Drosophila melanogaster: one gene and its partner. The protein of the gene in region 2 interacts with the protein of the main gene of each other region in a pairwise test. Each region holds a gene or a part of one and is shown on either strand. Other genes may lie near its edges. The genes, in order: CG15093 and CG18128.

Region 1 (9,612 bases), 4.9 Mb from region 2:
ATCTTTTGGGCCAGGTGCAGATAAACCGTCGCTTGTGATTCGCAACTGATGCTGATGCAACGCTGACAAGAAGACATAAATATCACTTATGCAATCGAAAGGAGAGAGCTGGATTGTCGATGCGTCGACGCATCGAGAGCCAAATGCATTTAGGCTCACGAAAGTAAGACAACTTTTTGCCGCTGCTCTGCCCCTCGGGTGATGCCCAAAATGCTGGCTATTTGGTGCTTTTGGCCATAAAACGCTTCCTGCTCCCGCTGCAATGCACTGCAGCAGTGCGCTGGTCAAAATGTGGTCGAAATCTGGAAAACTGGATTGCCAGCGGAGAGCCTCTCGAGCCGAGAGGCATCGCTAGTTTCCTTCCTTGTGTGTGGATTTGGGTTAGCCAAACATTTATCTGCCGCTCGAGCTGTTGGTTTTTATGTTGATGTCGCCGCTGGTCGAGATTGGGGGATACAAATCAGGAGGGAGAAGTGTATCAGTGGGTGAAAACAGCGGGAAATTGGTCCGAACAATGGGGTTTTAATCAGCTCATTATGTACGGGTTTAGTTTTCCTTGTTTTTAGACGGTCTCTTTTAATTGGTAATGTGCATTTTCAAGTGTTGCGCTTGTCGATCATAAATTAATTACCGTTTTTCTTGAGGATAATAAATCTTTTTTATACATTTCAGAGTTCATATGCTCCCAAGCAATTCGAAGAGCATTCATTCTCCGCATTTCTCTTTCCTCAACTGGATTGTTGTTTTTTTTTTGGTTCACTCTGCCAACTGCAATTAAAATTTTGTAATACGGTGACCAAAAAAGCAAAAAAGATGGAAAATATAACCCAAGCACAAACAACATCGCGATGAAAAATTACGACAAACAGAAAAACACATTCGCTCTAAACGGTCGCATGGAATGTGTGTTTTGTCGGGTAGCGAATAATTTGACCACTTTCAAAAATGATTTTCAATTTCACTAAACTATAGACTGTAGGCCAGGGTGTCGGCAATTGGTAACTAAGTGCGGAGATACATATGCGAACACATAATAATTATGCATGCGGCGTATTAAAAAGCGCGAACCTTAGAAACGATTCAAAAACTCAAGCCGAATGAAATCGAAAATGAATTGAATCGAATTGAGTTGAGTTGGATTGTGGCTGTGGCTGCGGGGGGATGATAATTTCACTTTCCTTTCCCAAACTTGCTGCAGTGACTCCAACTGCATTTCAATTTTCCGCATTGGGCGTGTGTGAGTGTGAGTGTGTGTGTTTTCAGTTAGTTTTTCATTTTCATATCGTTTTGGAGTGGTCTCTTCAGTTGGCATGTTAATGTAGGTCCGAACGTACATACATTCGATCGAGAGCAGAGCAGAGCGAAAGTCCAGCAGTGACGTCTAGCACAGGGAAACAATTAAATCCCATGAAAGTGATTATCGAACGCAATTTCACTGCCAAAATTTCTGGCTTAATGTAATTTCAATTACGTGCTGGCCGGAAACGAAATCGAAGACAGGCTGAATGAAAAATGTCAGTAGTCGCTCACGATGTCACAACCGTTGGCTGGCAAATTACATGGTAATGTGTTCCTCGCTGACTCACGGATCTACGCGGTGGCATGCAGATTGTTGCGACCTGTCGCATTCATCAAATTGCGTGCAGCCGGCTGAAGACGGGTCAAGAAACCAGATCCAGGCGAGATACAGTCCGATTCGCAGATACAAGATACAAAATGAATGTTCATGAATAAGAAAACTTAAGACACGAGGGAGAATAGAAACACTTTGAAATCTATAAATCAAAATGTTATTTTAAAGTTATGATTAGGGAATTAATGATGAGGACTTACATACCCCCAGCAATCAATTATGTAAAGTTGTATCGTTAAATATATATACATACATAAAATCTATTATATTTTTTTCCCGCCTGTAGGACATTCCTATGCTCCTCCACTGTAATGATTGCTTATAACGCAATGTTTGCGGGCGAATAAAATTCAATCGCAATGTGATTCAATTCAAGTGCACGCTCTTTTCTGTTTTCTGTGTTTTGTGATTAGTGATTTGTGGGTGCGCGCTGTTGACGATGAGTGAAATTTCGCTGTCTGCCTATGTTTGACATGGAAATTAGTAGCGGCAAACGTTGGTGTGCGACCGCAGCGAAGAAATGTTATAATGTCTGCCTAATGAGCTTGGCACACCGCTGCGTATACTTGATGTACGATATACGCATAAGAGTGTGTACAAATGCCATGAACATGAACATTTTCCAAAGCCAAGCCCAAATGGTCCACTTGAAGCTTGTAGTTTTGCGCTTTAATGCTTCACTTCGCTTGTGGCTTCTTTGGCGCCTTTGGCTTTTTAATATTATTTTTTTTTCACTTTTACTTGTAAATTGTAAATTGTTTCAAAGAGACGCGCTCTCACCTGTATTTGCTGTTGTTTCGGCCCATATTCGTGTTAATCATTCGCTGAATTGCACTTTATGGCGTTAGATAAGGGTCTTGCCGCTATTTTGACAATTGACAAGCGATTATATAAGCGAGCGCTGCTGGGCAGCCGATGTCCCCCATTCGATGTGATTTTTGCGCCATTGTCGCGATCTCGATCCGCTCCACTCCCCAAATTGAAATGCACTTAGGCGATCGACGGATGCTGCAGACGCGCTGACATAGATAAATCACCAAAAAATCATCATCATCAGTGCGAACACAGAGAACGGTGATATCCAATACACATTTATACATAGTTACATCTGCGATATGGCTATTTACTGCCACCCTTATTCAAATAATATTTCTGAAAATCATTCATAGAAGTGGTTATGTCGAAAATATAGCCAATATACATACTTTATTTCAGTTGTTTCTGTTTTCTTTTGATAAGCATAACTCAGTTGGCTGACAACGAGGTCCGTGGGATTGCGTAAGATCGGAGCCACGACAGGCGGGCCGTAAATTGGACGAGATTTTGCGAAACGCAGCTCGAGCAGTTGCAATTTCATGCATGCCGATTTTTATGCGAGCACCAACATTAAAAAAAAAACAACAACAACAACTTCAGCAACAGCATCGAAACCTTATGACCATTGTACAATTTGGGCGAAAAAAAAAACTATCTGCGCCAATTGAGGTTCGGAAAGCAGTGATAAAAATAGCACAAGAAAACAAAATCGCGAAACATCAAATTGTTTATTGTGGGATCAAGTATTGGCAAAGCCCTAGCGCAAGAAAGTTGCAAAAATAAAAACATTATAAAGTCTTGGGTATACAATAACGATCCTCAGATACACTTACAAATTGTACAACAAAATGTATATGTACTTCCCTGTTCACCGAATAAATACAAGCACTAATTAATTAATTTTGTTTTAACTAATTTTTACAATGGTCATACCTTTTACAATGCAGCTTAAAATGATTACCCATTAAGTTGGGTCTTTCAAGGTCTAAGGTCTTTTCAGTTATTAGGCTATAAAATTATGGTAGATTAAGGTATCACTGGTATCTCTGTTTGTGAAGCGAAATAAGCCCTTGAAGTGAGTGTAAAATGAAACATCAGTTTGGAAATTGCTCGTGTGAATTTAGTTATGCACGATATTTCACGCAATTGAAGCCATTCGCATGTTGCCCTTCATTCATTCATTCAGTTGAGGAAAGAGGCATCGAATGAAGATTGCTTCGAAGGGATAAATTATGTTTTAGTTTTTTAAGTTTAATAAATTCAATCGTTCTAGATGCTTTACTTTAATTTTCACTTGAATTGAAACTGCACAACCAGCGTAAAAGCTTACAGTTTTGGAGCCTCTGGTCTGGGCACTCAACGTCAAACCGACACACCCACAAATTTCTATACACCCCCCGTCAAACACACACACAAGCCCCCACATACGCCGAAGGTCAATGAAAGTAAATAAAATCGAAAGTTTTGCCCAGATTGATAAGCGAAACCAGCGGCACGTGTCGCTCACATATAACATAAATCAAATAAAAGCATTGGAAAGACCAGAGCTGAAAAGCTTTTGCCGGCGTCACTGGAACTCAAGATAAAATATATGTATAATGTGCTAACCATATGGTTGATAGCTAGCAGAGCTACTTGTTGAGAACTTGTTTTGATCTAGCAGAGTTGTCGCGACTTCAGAAGAATTATATATTATATTTTATTATATTATTATATTATATATATTGATATATATTTAAGTTTTTTAAAGATTTTTAAAATATATAAAAAGTTAATATTATTACTTATTGTTTAACATATCGAACTTTTCCAAATAAATAAATAAATAATTAATAGATATAAAGATTTGTTTGGAAATGGTTTTACTATATTAATTCAATGTATTAATTAATTAATATTAATTAGTGTAGCCGACAACCCTCGAGCGGCCGCTGGAATGAGCTGAAAATAAGCGACCTTCCAACAGCAGGGAGCAGTGTGCTTCTGACAGCGGTCCGATCACGTAGAACTTTTGCAGTTTCAGCCGTATCCCCTTAGATTTCTTACACCAACAGGTGGGTGAAATCTGGTGGCTAGTTGCCTATTTGAAGTGATTACATAACACTGTAGAACTTTTCGCAGACATGTCGCTCCGTGTGATGTCCCCCGCTATGCTGAATGCCTGGAGCCAGACCCTCGTGAGGGCCATGTCCACCCAGGGCGGAGCCAAGAACATCGGCTTCGTGGGTCTGGGCAACATGGGTGCCAACATGGCCAGCAATCTAATCAAGGCCGGCCACAAGCTGCATGTCTTCGATATCTCCAAGCCCGCCTGCGATGGTCTGGCCGCCAAGGGAGCCACCGTCTACGCCAAGACCTCGGAGCTGGCCAAGAACTCGGACTTTGTGATCACCATGCTGCCGAACAATGCCATTGTGGATGCCTCCTACGATGAGATGACTGCCGATGGCGTCAACAAGGACACCATCTTCATTGACTCGTCGACGATCTCGCCGGATTTGGTCAAGTCGTTGCAGAAGAAGATCAGCGCCAAGGGAGCTCGGTTTATCGATGCCCCCGTTTCCGGCGGAGTTCCCGGCGCCGAGCAGGCCACCCTCACCTTCATGGTGGGCGGCACCGAGGCGGAGTACAATGCCGTCAAGGCCGTCCTAGAGTGCATGGGCAAGAAGATCACCCACTGCGGCGTCTATGGCATGGGCCAGGCCGCCAAGCTGTGCAACAACATGATGCTGGCCATCTCGATGATCGGTGTTTCGGAGGCCATGAATCTGGCGGTGCGCCAGGGTCTCGATGCCAATGTCTTCGCCGAGATCATCAACTCCTCCACCGGACGCTGCTGGGCCTCGGAGATCTACAACCCTGTGCCCGGAGTCTGCCCCAGTGCCCCAGCCAACAGGGACTACGCCGGCGGTTTCTCCTCGGCTCTGATCACCAAGGATCTGGGTCTGGCCTCCGGAGTGGCCAACGCTTCCAACTCACCCATCCCGCTGGGATCTCTGGCGCACAAGGTCTACCAGTCGCTGTGCGATAAGGGTCTGGGCAACAAGGACTTCTCCGTGGTGTACGACCTGATGAAGAAGGAGAAGTTCAGCGTTTAGGTTACTCACAGACTACAGGTTGTGGTGGCCACAACCACGTCATGTCCACATCCAAACCAGTCCTGCATTTAAATATAGCACTAAGTTCCCTCTATTTCGATTTCTATTGTGACTGTTCCCTGTTCTATGCAAATAATACGTACATATATTAAAGACGTATCGTATTGAGTGAAAAAGTTCCATGCTGTTGCGTAATCGTGGGGCTGGTCTGATTAGGTCTGGGAATCGTCTGACGAACGGAACTCCGAGTGCTGATAAGCACCTACAAAAAAGCATCTGGGTTGCTATATTTTATTGCCACTTATGAGACCCCTGCAAATACAATTCCTGATTAGGGGTTATCTCCAGCACTCGTGGCATTAGATTCCACATGGAGATCGTTTTTAATTCATAAAGCTTGCCAGGTAAACAGAGCATAGAGTCGAGCAAAACAAACAACATTGAAAGATCCCAATGGAAATTATGGCGTGGTTATCAAAAGCTCACGGATTGAGAAGCACTGGCGGAATGTTTCGCAAAGTAATTTTATGTGGGTAGCACTAAAACTTACAGTTTGAATGGCTCTTTGTTGACATACTTTTTGAGATGGGTACAATCTAATAAGAAAACATATATAGATATAAGGATTTGCATATTAAATTCTCACAGCTTTAGTAACTATGTTTAAATATTAATATTTGTTTACCGAAAAAATGGGGATTCGTTTTATAAAACGTAGAGATAAGTAGTGGAACCACTCTGATAAGCCATATCAAAGAGGGGTGTTTATTTAAGTGGCTAGTTCGACACTCACACATCCCAGCTTTTATCTTCTAATAATTTTCTGCCACAGAAAGCTTAATTGGCAAGTAAACAGAGGACCGAGCAAAACAAACAACTGTTTTGTGGCAACTGTAGAATCTGCATAGAACCCAGACAGTTACAGCTCTACAGTTTTAGCATCACTCCGCACAGTGGTCAATGTATTTTTCAAAGCGACATATTTTGAGCGAAATCCAAAAATATTTTTATTTTTACAATCATATATATATATATATTTAAAAATAACAAACTTAACTTAGGTGCTAATTAATTAATTGAGTTGGTATGTATGTATATAAAAACTTTGTTGTTGCTCTTTTTGTGGGGTATAAAATAGTTCAACTATCTAAAATGTATCAAATCGATCAATCGGAGTGGGTTACATAGAAATTAATTTATATTTATTTGTATAGCTGGGCCGGGGCCTTTTAAGAGCTGATTATCCTAGACAAAGTTAATAATTATATGTTTTAGAAAATGTTTTGAACAATCTTTCCGAGTGAAATAATTACAATCAATTTGGTTAGGATAAGGCTTAATTAGGTATATATGTAAAGGTATATAATGAAAAAGCGTCCTTAAACGAGTCGAGTGCAATCGAGTGGTAAATTGTAAATGGAGTTTGGGGGAAACTTCTGTGCGGTACGGAGCTTCCGTGGTTTAAGTCACATTAAGTAGTAAGCCTAGTTGCAAAATTCTTTGAAAATATCACAAATTGAAATACACAATAAATAATTAATCGCATTTGGATTCGCGCAAAAAGGAATCTGGTAGTTAGCAATTTGAGTTTTGGTAAATATTCGAATAGATCTTTGAGAGAGGTTACCTTAGGTACATGCAATGTTTCAATAGATTCCTATTTATATCCGCTATCATTGTGTATGTACATAATCGCTTTGTGTAAATAGTTTGAGTTCTGCGCACATTTACATTAATATTCTCATTTTCTGTGTATATATATATATATAATTATATTAAAATAAGTAAAGCAATTTTGTGCTGCATAATTGAGTCAAGGTGAATTGCGTGTGTTGTTTCCTTCTATGGGTGGAACTGGTTGACTTCGATTCTTAACTAGCTAACTAACTTTGGTGTCTAATTGAATTCGCTATGGCTCAGACTGAGGCTCTTGGCCTGGCCAAACTTGTGCTTCAACTGGCTGGTGTTGGCCCGGAAGCGCTGCATCAACTGCTGCTGCCTTCCGCCGTATCCGGATCCCGATCCGCTTCCTCCTGCTGCTCCTCCTAGTGCGCTGGACTGCAGCGGCGAAAGGGACGCCATTGCCGCATCAGCGCTGGTTATGGACTATGATCCTTTCAGTTTCTTCTTGGGATTGTTGCGCGTCTGATCGGTGGGTGCCGATGGTGGCAGCTCTCGATATTGATTCTGCAATAAATATTATTATTATTTATAGCAAATGCAGCTAGTTAAAAGACCACTTACAATCTCCTCATTATCTGGCACTCGCGAGAGGAAGTCCAATAGCTCGTTGTTGGGAATGGTATTGGGTCTCAGCAAACGTCTGGAGAACTTCATCAGGCCCCAAAAGAGCAGCAGCCAGCGGAGCGGGACAAAATGCAAGACCAGAATGGCGCCCAATAGCAAAACCACAGCCAGCCAGGTCAGTTCGGGGACGGAAAAGTTGAATGTGCTGGTGATTACAAAGTGTTCATATAGACTGTGATGCATCTCATAAATAACAATAAAGTTTACTTAATGGTGCTCTCGCCTAAAGAAGCCAGGTAGCCGATGGTATTCTGTACCGTTTGGGAGACTTCTTGAATGGCCTGTAATCTCTCCTTGATGGACTTCTTTTCCTCCTTCTCCTTGTCATCATCATCATCTTCATCGTACTCATAGTCGTAGTGAGCAGCTGCATCTGTGGTGCCCGTTATAAGGCGAACCAGCCAGTTTCTAAATTAAAATTGTTGAGTATTTGGATCTCTCTGAATCTCTTACTTAATTACTTACTTAAGTATGATGAGCAGTAGAACTAGAGGTACTGTCTCCAGATCGCCGTAGACACAGGCGACTATCCAAAAGACGAAAGCTATGCTGGATCGCACAGGAGATTCCCACTCGAAACAGCTCCTTTAAAAAAACAGGCAGTGAATTATAAAGAAATTGTAATTGGAACCCTATACACTCACTGGACATAGCGCGCTGCATCTAGGATATCCATGATTATCTCCTTGAGTCTATTGACGTTGCGCAGGAAGAGCTGTCGCTTGAACTTGGCCTCCTGCTGGATGAGCTTTTCCTCCTTGGGCTGCAGGGCTCGACACACGGCACGGATCTCGCTCCAGACTACCGTCAGTTCCAGCTGAATTTGCGGTGAGTTTCCTTTGGCCCGCACACAGAGATTCTTGTCCTTCAGCGTATACCATCGCTTGACTCCACTTTTGATCCTTAGGAGGGGAATGACTAGCTTGCCCAGGAACTCTACGCGATGGTCGCGATCCTCATCGAAAACGGTGATCTCCAGGACCTGCGTGATGTCTTTAACATTGCTACAAAGCGAATTAAATAATTTTTTTTAGCAATATATAGCATTTAAAAGTAGGTTAGCTTTACTTACAAAGTAAATATCTTATTCCAATTAGGAGTGAGTGTTTTATACTCAGTTTGGGTTTGCAGTCGGGCGTTACCCAGTTCCAATACACAAAAAGGATCGGATTTTCCACCTATATCCGCTGCAGCCAGTCCAGTGGCTCCAAAGACCTTTACAGTTAGGTGACCCACATCGCGGAGGTTTTGGAGGCATCTTAGGAATTTATATCTTTCCCTTAGCAATTGAGCCTCTCGAGGATCCTCCTTGAAGGCCTTCAGATCGCTGATCGTCTCCAAGGCAGTGGTTCCACTTATAGTGAGCATAAGGTGGACCTCACCAGGGCAATCTTCCAGAGGTTTCCAAATGCCATGCGTGTTTTCGCGCTGAAAAACGCTGAGGTCAATAATGGCTTTGCCATAGAGGGTGTTCCGGTTCCAAAGTGCGATCTCCAGGTTTTGATCTTCATCAAACAGGTGCAAGTCGAACTGCTCCAGCCAGCGTTCCGTCCAGGAAGACTTGCTCTTGTACTTCTCATTGCCCAATCTGAAATCAATAGTAATCAATTACCTTTATGATATCACTACCAGTTAATAGTTATCAACTTACCTGAATTTGAAGTGAGTATCATTCAGCTTGCTGCCATCTTCAGCTAAGGGCAAATCCTTGGCTTTAACCAGCAATATGGTAACCACTGAGCTCCAGATCTGTGACTT
Region 2 (9,437 bases):
AAATATATCCTTAAGCTGGTATTCCCCTAACATAGGTTGCCACTCGCATTTATCTGCAGTGCCCCACTTAATGTCTTCATACATAAATAACTGGCTATTTTTGAATATTTGAATTCTCTATTGAATCTATAGAGAAACCATTCCCTTCCCCAGTGCACAACTCTCGACTGGAGTAGAAGCTCATGCTATTGGGTTTGCAGCATCGCTTCCCACAAAATCCTCACAAATCTTTGGCAGATTGCACATGTGAAACCTGCGGTTGTTGGCCAATTCCGGCTGTTTTCCCATTTTTTGGCCAGTGCCAGGGACTTTGCGGATTGACGGGCTGTCAAGTCAGCGCAACAGGTTCCTGGGCCAAGATGCGTATACAGAAAACAGAATCGAATGGAAGACACACTGATTCAATTCGTTCAGTATTGGATTTGCTGCTGCCACACAACTTCAAGTTGAGGAAATTGGCACTTGACCTACCGCACGGGAATCTAAATTAGGCGGCGTGTTCGCTTGCCGAGCGTTTCGCCCTCTCTTTCCGCCCCACTGCGAAGGCGAAGCCTCGCACGCGGTTTTTGGTAAACTGCTGAGGGCATTTGTTCACTTTGCTGGCTGCGTTTGTTTACGGTTTCCATTACCCGCTTCTCGCGGCTTCAGCTTTTTCCAGTTCTATTTCGAGTTGGCCATCCACTAATTAGGCAGCTTGTCGGGCAGCATTCGAGTTAAATGTTCGGCACTGCAAATGACATGGTCCTTGCGGCCATACACACGATACTATCCATTGTTACACTCGTACAATACATGCGGTGAAACAATCAAGTACGCCGACATGGGCGTAATTCGCAGACAAACAAGAAGAACGAAAACGAACTGAGCCTGCGAATTAAGGCCCCTGCTCGGCAATGAATTCTCTTCGCCATGCCAGGCCATCGGCCATCCCGGCGTATACGTAATGCTACGGGCCGAAAAGAATTGAGGAATGGCTGGCAGTTAATGCCAATTATGATAAACGGTTGCTATGTAGCCGTCGCACACAGATACTCTACACACTGGCGCGCGCCACACAGATACTCACGCAGATACAGATACTCATGCACTCGCACTCGCACAACTGTTGCTCGCGATGTTGTTGATGTCTTTTAGTTGTTGCCAGGCGCATTAAGATTGCCGCTTGTGCTTGTGTGTGTGTTTATGTGTGTTGAGTGATTGGGTGTACGAGTGTGTGATGGGAAATCACTTGAACCATCGGCTGAGAGGGCAATTGATATGTGCTTCCATCAATGTTGCAATCAGTTAAGCGGCTTTCGAGCGCCAGAAACAACTGAATCGGTCTGTAAACTCAATCGAATTCGTCCTTTTGCGACAAAAACAACAGTCATGGTCCTTCCAATGACCTGCGGCCACTACCATTATTAATTCGATCAGCTGTACGCTTCGCAGATTCCAGTAATTCGATAAAAGTTTATTTAAGCACTTATTTGAACAGATTCAAATAAGTAAATTGAAAGTTTAGTACATTATTTCATGTTTAATGCGGATAGTTTAAAAGTTGTGTTGTTTGTTGTATCCGCGAATGCTGCTTTAATCATAGTCATTTCTATGGGCGCAAGACGAGGTGACTGAACTCGCAACAGCAACTGCAGCAGCCACTACAACTGCAGCAAGTGCAGCAGCAACACAATTGCAACTGCAGTCTGTTAAGCTTGCTTGCCGTTAATTTGTGCAATCTTCTACTTTTACCTACTTATTACAAGTAGTCACAAACAAAACTGAGTATTTTCCATGCCGTTTTCCCATGCTTCAGATTCAAGGGTATTTACGCATGTTCTTCAGCTAACTGCAAGCATAATCCAAGTGGGAAACTTTCTGACTTACCCATAATTGTAAAGACTTAATTAAAAGAGTTTCAATAACTAATCAAATGGATTTCCCTCACAGCGCACATAACTCACCATCCATATCAGTATATCAGTAGCCTAATAAATGGCGATTGGCCCGACTTAAGTCAAGTGAATATATAAAAAATCTAATCGCCAAATATTGTTTATGGTGGTCAAGTACGATTAGAAGTTCTTTGGAAAAGCCATAGCAACTGCCAAATTCAGATTTCTATTCATTTACTGCCGCTGCTCTGCAAATTGTGTGCGAATATTTGTGGATTTCTGTATGTAAGTGGGCAAATTGCATTACAACCGAATAATAATTACAATGCAAAAGTAATTTTGTGTGCGAAATTCTAATTCCCCATGCAGCCGAATAATTGGGGTTGGATTTATCTATCAAGAAACTAATGGAATCACATTAGTTTTAAATACAACTTTGCTTCAACTTAGCTTAAATTAATGGTATGGATATTTCATCAGTTGGCATTATAATTAGCCCGTGGCATTATAATTAGCATAATATCAGCACTCCTATCGGCATCTGCCTGCCATTTGGATTGCGTCAGCCGAAGATCGGAATTAGATCCTTGTTGACAATTGAGTTGCCAAAATAGCGGGCAGATGTTGCACCCAGGGCAATTGAAATGCCAGAATGTGTTTGTATCTTTGCATCTTTCTATCTGGTGATGCAGATCTGCATCTGCGAGTCAGCTGACACCGTTACTCACGCACTCATGGCACCCAAAATAAAACTGTGCATAATGTCAGTGCACTGAACTGGCCGCATGAATCGCAGTCAGAACTGCAATTCGGTGGCAAGTTGCAATCAATATGAGTTTATGCAGCGGGGTCAACGAACTGGCCGCTGAAAACTCATTAGCGTAGTGCCGCAGGCCCAAATCTCAGTCGGGGAAATCGGTCGAAATCGGTCGAAATCGGACGAAATCGGACGAGATCGGACGAGAAACCGGGGGAAATCGGCGAAAAATCGGTGCAGGCCGGGGAAAATGTAGCTTTCTAGCCGCATGATCGCACAGCTGAAAACAGCTGAAAGCAAAGCGACGAGCGCGAATAGCAAATTGCAAGGCAAACAGCTCGTGGCGGTCGCCATAGCCCACATATACATACCCCCACTACATACATATGTACATGCATGCATATATGCACTTGTATCTGAACAATCAGCGTCAATAAGCAGCGCAATCGCCGTTCGTCATCGCGCTGCTACTGCAGCTGCCGCACAATGGCGAATAATAAAATTAGCCACAATGACGAACAAAGAAGCGCTGGCAGTGCAAGTTTGTAATGGCCATTACAAAACAGGCTAATCTGCGGGAAGTTGGCTCGCAGGGAGCCTCGTCCACTGTCACTGGCCAACAGAGGAGGGCATTTAGCGACGTTCTGATAACGCGGACTCGTAAGCCTCTTAGCCGATTAATTGATACATTACTCTACTATGCCAAGTAGACGTGCAACAGAGTAGCTCGGCTTTCTATGCCGTCTAATTGCCATTAAATGTACTTTACAGCTGGCCCGAGCCCGAGCATTGGACAATTACGTATACGGCCCGTGTGCACTCTGCACTCTCTACTTTTGATGGCTGGCCATTTGGGGCGTCCATTAGACAGAGTGACACCGGGCACACTCGCACCTCACAACTCACACCTCACACCTCACACTTCCCACTTGGCCATCTCAGATCACACATTTTGAAACCTCCCCCCTAGGCGACAACTCTTCGCCGAGAAGATTGCGCCAACAGCTGCACCTGTGGCTATTTCCGCGTTGGCAGCACCACTGGCCGCACCGAAAATAGGAATCCGAACAGAAGAAGTCGGATGGGGCTTCGAGAAGTCTATTTTCGATCGTCAGATCTCGAGGTGCATGCAGTACATAAGTCGGCCGATCAGATCGGAGCAGGCCTGCAGTCTTGGGAGGGGGACAGGCTCCTGGGAATCCTGCTCTCGCTTATCCTGCTTGGAGTCCCTGTCAGTGTCCTTCTCCTTGTCCTTATCGCTCTCCTCGCTCTCCTTGTCGCTGGCCGCCCTGCTGATAACCACAAAGGCGAGCACCTTCAGGCCGCCGTGGTGGGCGGCTATAACCTCGGGCACCAGGGACATGCCCACGGCACTGACCTCCATTGTCCGCAGCATTCGCTCCTCGGCCACAGTGCCGAGAATGGGACCTCCCATGCAGGCTAAGACGCCGCTGTGCAGGAACTTCTGGATGCCCATTCGCTTGCCAATCTCGAGTGCCTTCTCCAGCAGGTCCTTGTCATATGCGTTCACCATCGAGAATCGGCGGCTGCCAAAGCGCGGATCACTGGGACCCTCTAGCGGCGTCTGGTGCATCATGCCCACCACATTGATGTGGTCCTGGACAAGCATTATGTCGCCCAGGGCGAATCCGTGATCTACGGCCGCTGCTTCAGAGGTCAGCATGATGGTCCTGACCCCGCACAACTGCATCACGCGGACGGGCAGCGCACAGGTGGCCAGGTTGTAGCCGTCGCAGGAGTGGAAACTGTGGACCAGCGCTATTATGGGCGCTCCCATGACCGTGCCCAAGACGAAGCTGCAGTCCGGCTCTATGCCGTCGGGGAAGTTGGGTATGTCCTCGTAGGGAATGACCACCGGCTGCTCCACCAAGCTGACCATATCGCTCAGGAAGCTGCCGCAGATTAGTCCGTACTTTGGCCTGATGTGGCTAACGTTCACGATGTACTTGGCCATGGCCTCGACTTCCTCGAAGGGGTAGAAGAGGCTCTGGGGCGTCGGGATGACCAGCTTGGGCTTCCGGCGTTCCTCCTCCTCCATCTGCAGAAGCTTCCTGGCCGCCATTCGCTTGGCAATCGGCGACCTGGACTTGCAGCAGTCGTAGTTGCACATTTTGAGTAGGATGGGTCGCCAAATGGGTGCGAAACTTCACCAATTTTCGAATTTTTTGGAAAATACTCAAAAGATGACTTTTAGGGCATAGCTTAGGGCTGTTTGTGTGTGAGAGGCTTAAATAAGAATTAAACCATGTATTGACGGCAGAAATAAATCAACGATTTATTAAGTCCGCGGAAAACAGGAGGTGTGACTCGAATCGAATGACGCTAAAAACAAAAAGCCAGGGTCTGGTCGAAAAACAAAACCACAAAAGCGCGCCATGACGTCTGGTTAAAATTGGCTGATGAATTCCGAAATCCAGCTGTTCACAAAGTTCGTTTCCAAAAGCGAGGGCCAAAAACTGCATTAAATCATAAAACAACAGTTTTCCGAAAAGGGGGCATTTTTTGTTTGTTTTTCCCTAGTTAACAAAACAAATGAAAAAACTTTGGAACATCCAAGCTAACTCTAATCAGTTACATGCAATATGTAGAAGCGTGGAGCGCTTTTCTCTTTTATTTTCCCTAGTTTTCACTTTCCAAAGTTCAATCGGAGTCTTTAAGCTCAAACAGACAGTGCGAAATAGATTTAATTATCAGCGTCGACGGTGCCACGCCCATGCTGCCGCCGCTGTGGGCGGGGAAGATGCTGTTTACCATGTTTACCATACGTATACGTGATAATAACGCTCATACGCATGGCGGCACATAGGCAACGCCCCGGCCGTTGTTTACTTGTTGTGTGTTTGTGTGTTGTGGATGCCGTTCAATGTCACCACACGCCAGAGTTCGTTTACAGCATCGCATCCATGGCACAGCTAGCGATTGGAGTGCTGGTGTGAGTGGATAAATTAAATACGTCCATTCGGAGATTCGGAACTGGCGGTAAACTAGACACTCAAGACTACACTGAGATGAATCGGGGTGCTGTAAGTGGCATCTCATTCTAGCGATCCTATCATTGCAATGCAGTTAAGAAGAAGAAAACATTAAAAAGTGCACACAGTGTACTTACTCCTTCTCTGTGTGAAAAATGAAAGAAAGTGCGCCCTTTATTCTGCCAGTGCATCGCCTGTCTGGAGTGTGCTGGTGTAGACTGGACCAGGCCGAGGCTTGGCTCAATACTTTCGCTAATTAGTTGGGCCAACCAGCGAAAAGCAGCTACATTGTCTCGGCCATGTTTACCATGACCACCTCTGTCAACGAATCCACTGGCCAGCTGTTCGAAGTCGATTCGTGCGACTTGGCGGGATTCGGATGGGTATGGGGTTTGGGATTGGGATTGGGGAATCGGCGAAGCGTTTAGTATGCTCGTGACGTGGTCGATAATAAAAAATTATTAATAGGAAACTTTGTAGCGCTGTTTATGTTATTCGAGTGCGCGCCAAATGGCTTGGGTTACAAAAGCAGCCTTTGTCGCCGATTGTTTTTCCCGATTTGTGGGCTATTTGCTATTTTGTTATTCCAGTGCAGCCGCCTACAATGTCAGAGTCACGTTTGTGTGATTCGCCTTGCTGGCTACGGTGACGATGACGAGGCTTCGATGCGGGGCCAAAAACCGCAAGAGATCATCCGGGCCTGTAACTCTATCATCTGTTTTCCATTTGTTTGTTTACTTCCCCGACTTTGTATCCGTATCTGTATCTGTATCTGTAAATGTATCTGAACCTGAATTTGAATCTGTATCTGAGAATCTGAGTCCAAATGTGTGTGTATCTGAATGCCTTGTTTCGGCTTGTTGTGCCCATTGTTAGGCTTGTTTCTTTGTAGCCCCCATATCTTTGCCCACTTTCGGTTGGCTATTTGTTTGTCACTTTGCGCCAGCCTGCCAAAAATGCCCTGTTTGCAGTTGATATTAATTTCGGTTTCACATTCACCCGCCGCTCCATTATTGTTTTTTGTTTTTCACATTCTTTTATTATTATTATTTTTTTTCGAAATCTCACCTTGCCCCAGGAAGAGGAGCGAACCCGTTTCGGCCATTCCCAGTGCTCAGTTATCCAGTTGCCCAGTTGCCCAGTTGCCAGTTCCGAGTTCCCAACTCGCAGCTCCCAGTTTGTTTACCAACTTTTGTGCTGCGTTTTGCTTTGTGACCGTTGTTTGCCTTTTATTTTTGGCATTGCGCGATTTTACGCTGTCTGTGCAGGCCCGCTAAATACACGGCAGTAGAGCCAACAAGAAATGCTCAAACAAAACCAAAACCCAAACCGAAAAAGCTGAAAAAAAGAAAGCGACGAAAAGTGAATATTTTGACTGGCATTTGAATGCTAATTGAAGGCGGCGGAGAACCGCAAACGAGTTGTTGCTGTGGGAAGCGAGCTTGGGCTTTGTGAAGCTGTGTGATATGGTAATTAATGAAGATCGTTTCTCTCATCCGCAGCTAGCAACATCTGAGGAGCACAAGCACGTGCAGAGTGGAAGGGTCGCCAGCTCAAAACGACAAATGAAAACCAAAAACCAGACCAACATCATCTGCTCCAACTGCCAATGCTTTAGCCACTCGAATCGGGGAATAGCCATCACCGACGAGAAGAACGTCCTGCGGATCCAGAGCTACACCTACAAGTGCTTGAACCACAATCCGCGACCTCGGATATTCCGCTGATAGTGATAGTGGACTCTGGCTGCAGAGAGAAGAAGACCCTAGCCTGACCACACCAGACCAGCATCGCAATCAGAAGCAGCAGTTTAAGAAAATCTGGTTTGGCTCCAGCTCCAGCTCCAGCGATCCAATCCGCTCTGATACGATACGATACGATACGATTCGATTCGGTACTATACGATCCGCGGACGAGCCTCCTGCTTTGGTGCATTTCCAGTTTGGCGGCTGCTCCACTTTCGTGGCTCCATAAACAAAGAGCCGGGCGAAAACTGGTTATTTTCTCACTGCGATCGAAGCTGCAGCTACCAACTGCAATCGACTGCGACCTCTGATTCCGAATCCGAGCACACGTCGCATCCACATCCAACTCGACTCGATCCCTCCGCCAGACTCATGTACTACGCCGTCGATTACTACGCGGATATGGGACAAATCTCTCAAGATGTAAGTTCATGTGGTTTAGATGTAAGTAGTTATCCTATCCAACTCTTTCTGGGAAAGATTAGCAGAGTGTCTCCATCAAATTCAGAGCCGAGTGTTTGGTTTTCTAACCCAAATGGCGCTTAGTTGAGTTAAAGCTTATGTTAACCACATATCGCAGCATTATTAAGCGAATTTGTGATTAACTCAAGCTCGTGCACTTAGAACCTGATTGACAGCATATTATGTTTCAAGTGGCAACTGTTGAATGATATGATGTGATTATTAAACTGAGATTTTAATCAACAACGATGCCAACGAGACTCGGTGCGTAATATTTTTGCCTGGTCAGTCAAAAATGATTTTCACTCTATACGTACGCTGAAATGTAATACGTGCTTTTGTGTTTTCGAATGGCGCACATTTTCCACAGCTTCGTAATTAACTTTTGCCAGAGTAGGAAAACTTAAAACCGCAGTGCAAATATGAAGGGATGTTATTTGAAAAATGCGTGCTTTTGTTTGAAATTCTTTTTGCAGACATGCTGATAAAATTATAAAAATGGGAAATGCAGGAAATGTGGAAAATGCAGGGAAAACAACAATCAGTTGCTGGGAATGTGAGTAGGTGGTAGGTAGGTTGGTAACCGAAGTGAGTTGCCAACTTTATAATGCGCAGTGAGTGTGCAGAAAGGACTGGGCACTTTTTGCGAAAGACCCCATCGATAAGAACTGATAAGCCTGCGATATTTCTCACATGGATCTGTGTGTAGACATAGACCCGGTAGAGCTATGAAATAGATAACGCCAAGCTGGCGACTCTGGCACTTTGTTTTCATGGCGAACTCGATTGCCGAACTAGGTCAGCTAATCAGCGAAATAGATGCAAATGTCGAGTAATTGCGACTCGGAATGAATTCAATTAGAGTAGCTGAAAAGTGAACAAACCGCTTGATTAGCCGCGAAAACAATGCGTATTAGCAACTACATATTTGAAGTTAATCAAGAGCAAGAGTTAAGCCCATCAAAGGAAGCCATAGGATCTCTTTGTGGCCTTTAAAGGTCGAACAACCTGCTGGCTGGGACTGCACTTTAATCAGGCACTGCACTGCACTGGTGAATCAAAGTGGAAATAATAATAATAATAATAATAATTTCAATTATCATGCCCGATACTCAATGACAGCGAACGTAAACAGCCCGCGGCCATCAGCCATCTGCGCCACGACAGGAATTTTATTTACGCAATGAAAATATAAATTGTATAAAAATACACAATTTGTGGTGTGCGCGGGTGTTGGGGGGAGGGCCAAGTGGGTGGGTGTGGGTGTGGGTGTGGGTGTGGGTGGTGCTTGGGCCAGTCACTCAGCTAGCACCCGAATATCAGAACAAACAGATGTGCGCCATTCGCACGCTGGCAGTAGTCCAAAAAGGCTTTCGCCTCGTTCCGAGTGGCAAAGGGGCGACTTGATTGAGCTGATTGAGTGATTGACTGGCTGGGCGAGTGATTGAGATTGAGATCGCGCACGAATGCAGCAATGCACTTTGATGATATTCCCCTGTGGCCCAATTCCACAGCCGGAAGTTGGAATCAAAAACCACGGCCTTTAGCCTTAAAAGTTATGTCAACTTTATATCGAATTTAAAGCTAATTTAATATATTTGCTAGA

What was found.
Region 1: the proteins of CG18128 (region 2) and CG15093 interact in a two-hybrid assay, tested with the Drosophila melanogaster proteins (one large-scale study listed by BioGRID).

Annotation. Positions count from the first base shown.
Region 1 is NT_033778.4:18,771,785-18,781,396, reverse strand, and holds CG15093 (uncharacterized protein), read left to right. Parts: upstream 1-4,418; 5' UTR 4,419-4,572; coding exon 4,573-5,547; 3' UTR 5,548-5,728; downstream 5,729-9,612. Other genes in the region: Mctp (multiple C2 domain and transmembrane region protein), read right to left, coding at 7,654-7,734, 7,792-7,999, 8,062-8,262, 8,320-8,439, 8,499-8,858, 8,927-9,442, 9,506-9,612.
Region 2 is NT_033778.4:23,715,084-23,724,520, forward strand, and holds CG18128 (uncharacterized protein), read right to left. Parts: upstream 4,854-9,437; 5' UTR 4,763-4,853; coding exon 3,743-4,762; 3' UTR 3,715-3,742; downstream 1-3,714. Other genes in the region: CG46429 (uncharacterized protein), read left to right, coding at 7,190-7,351; Sesn (sestrin), read left to right, coding at 7,742-7,792.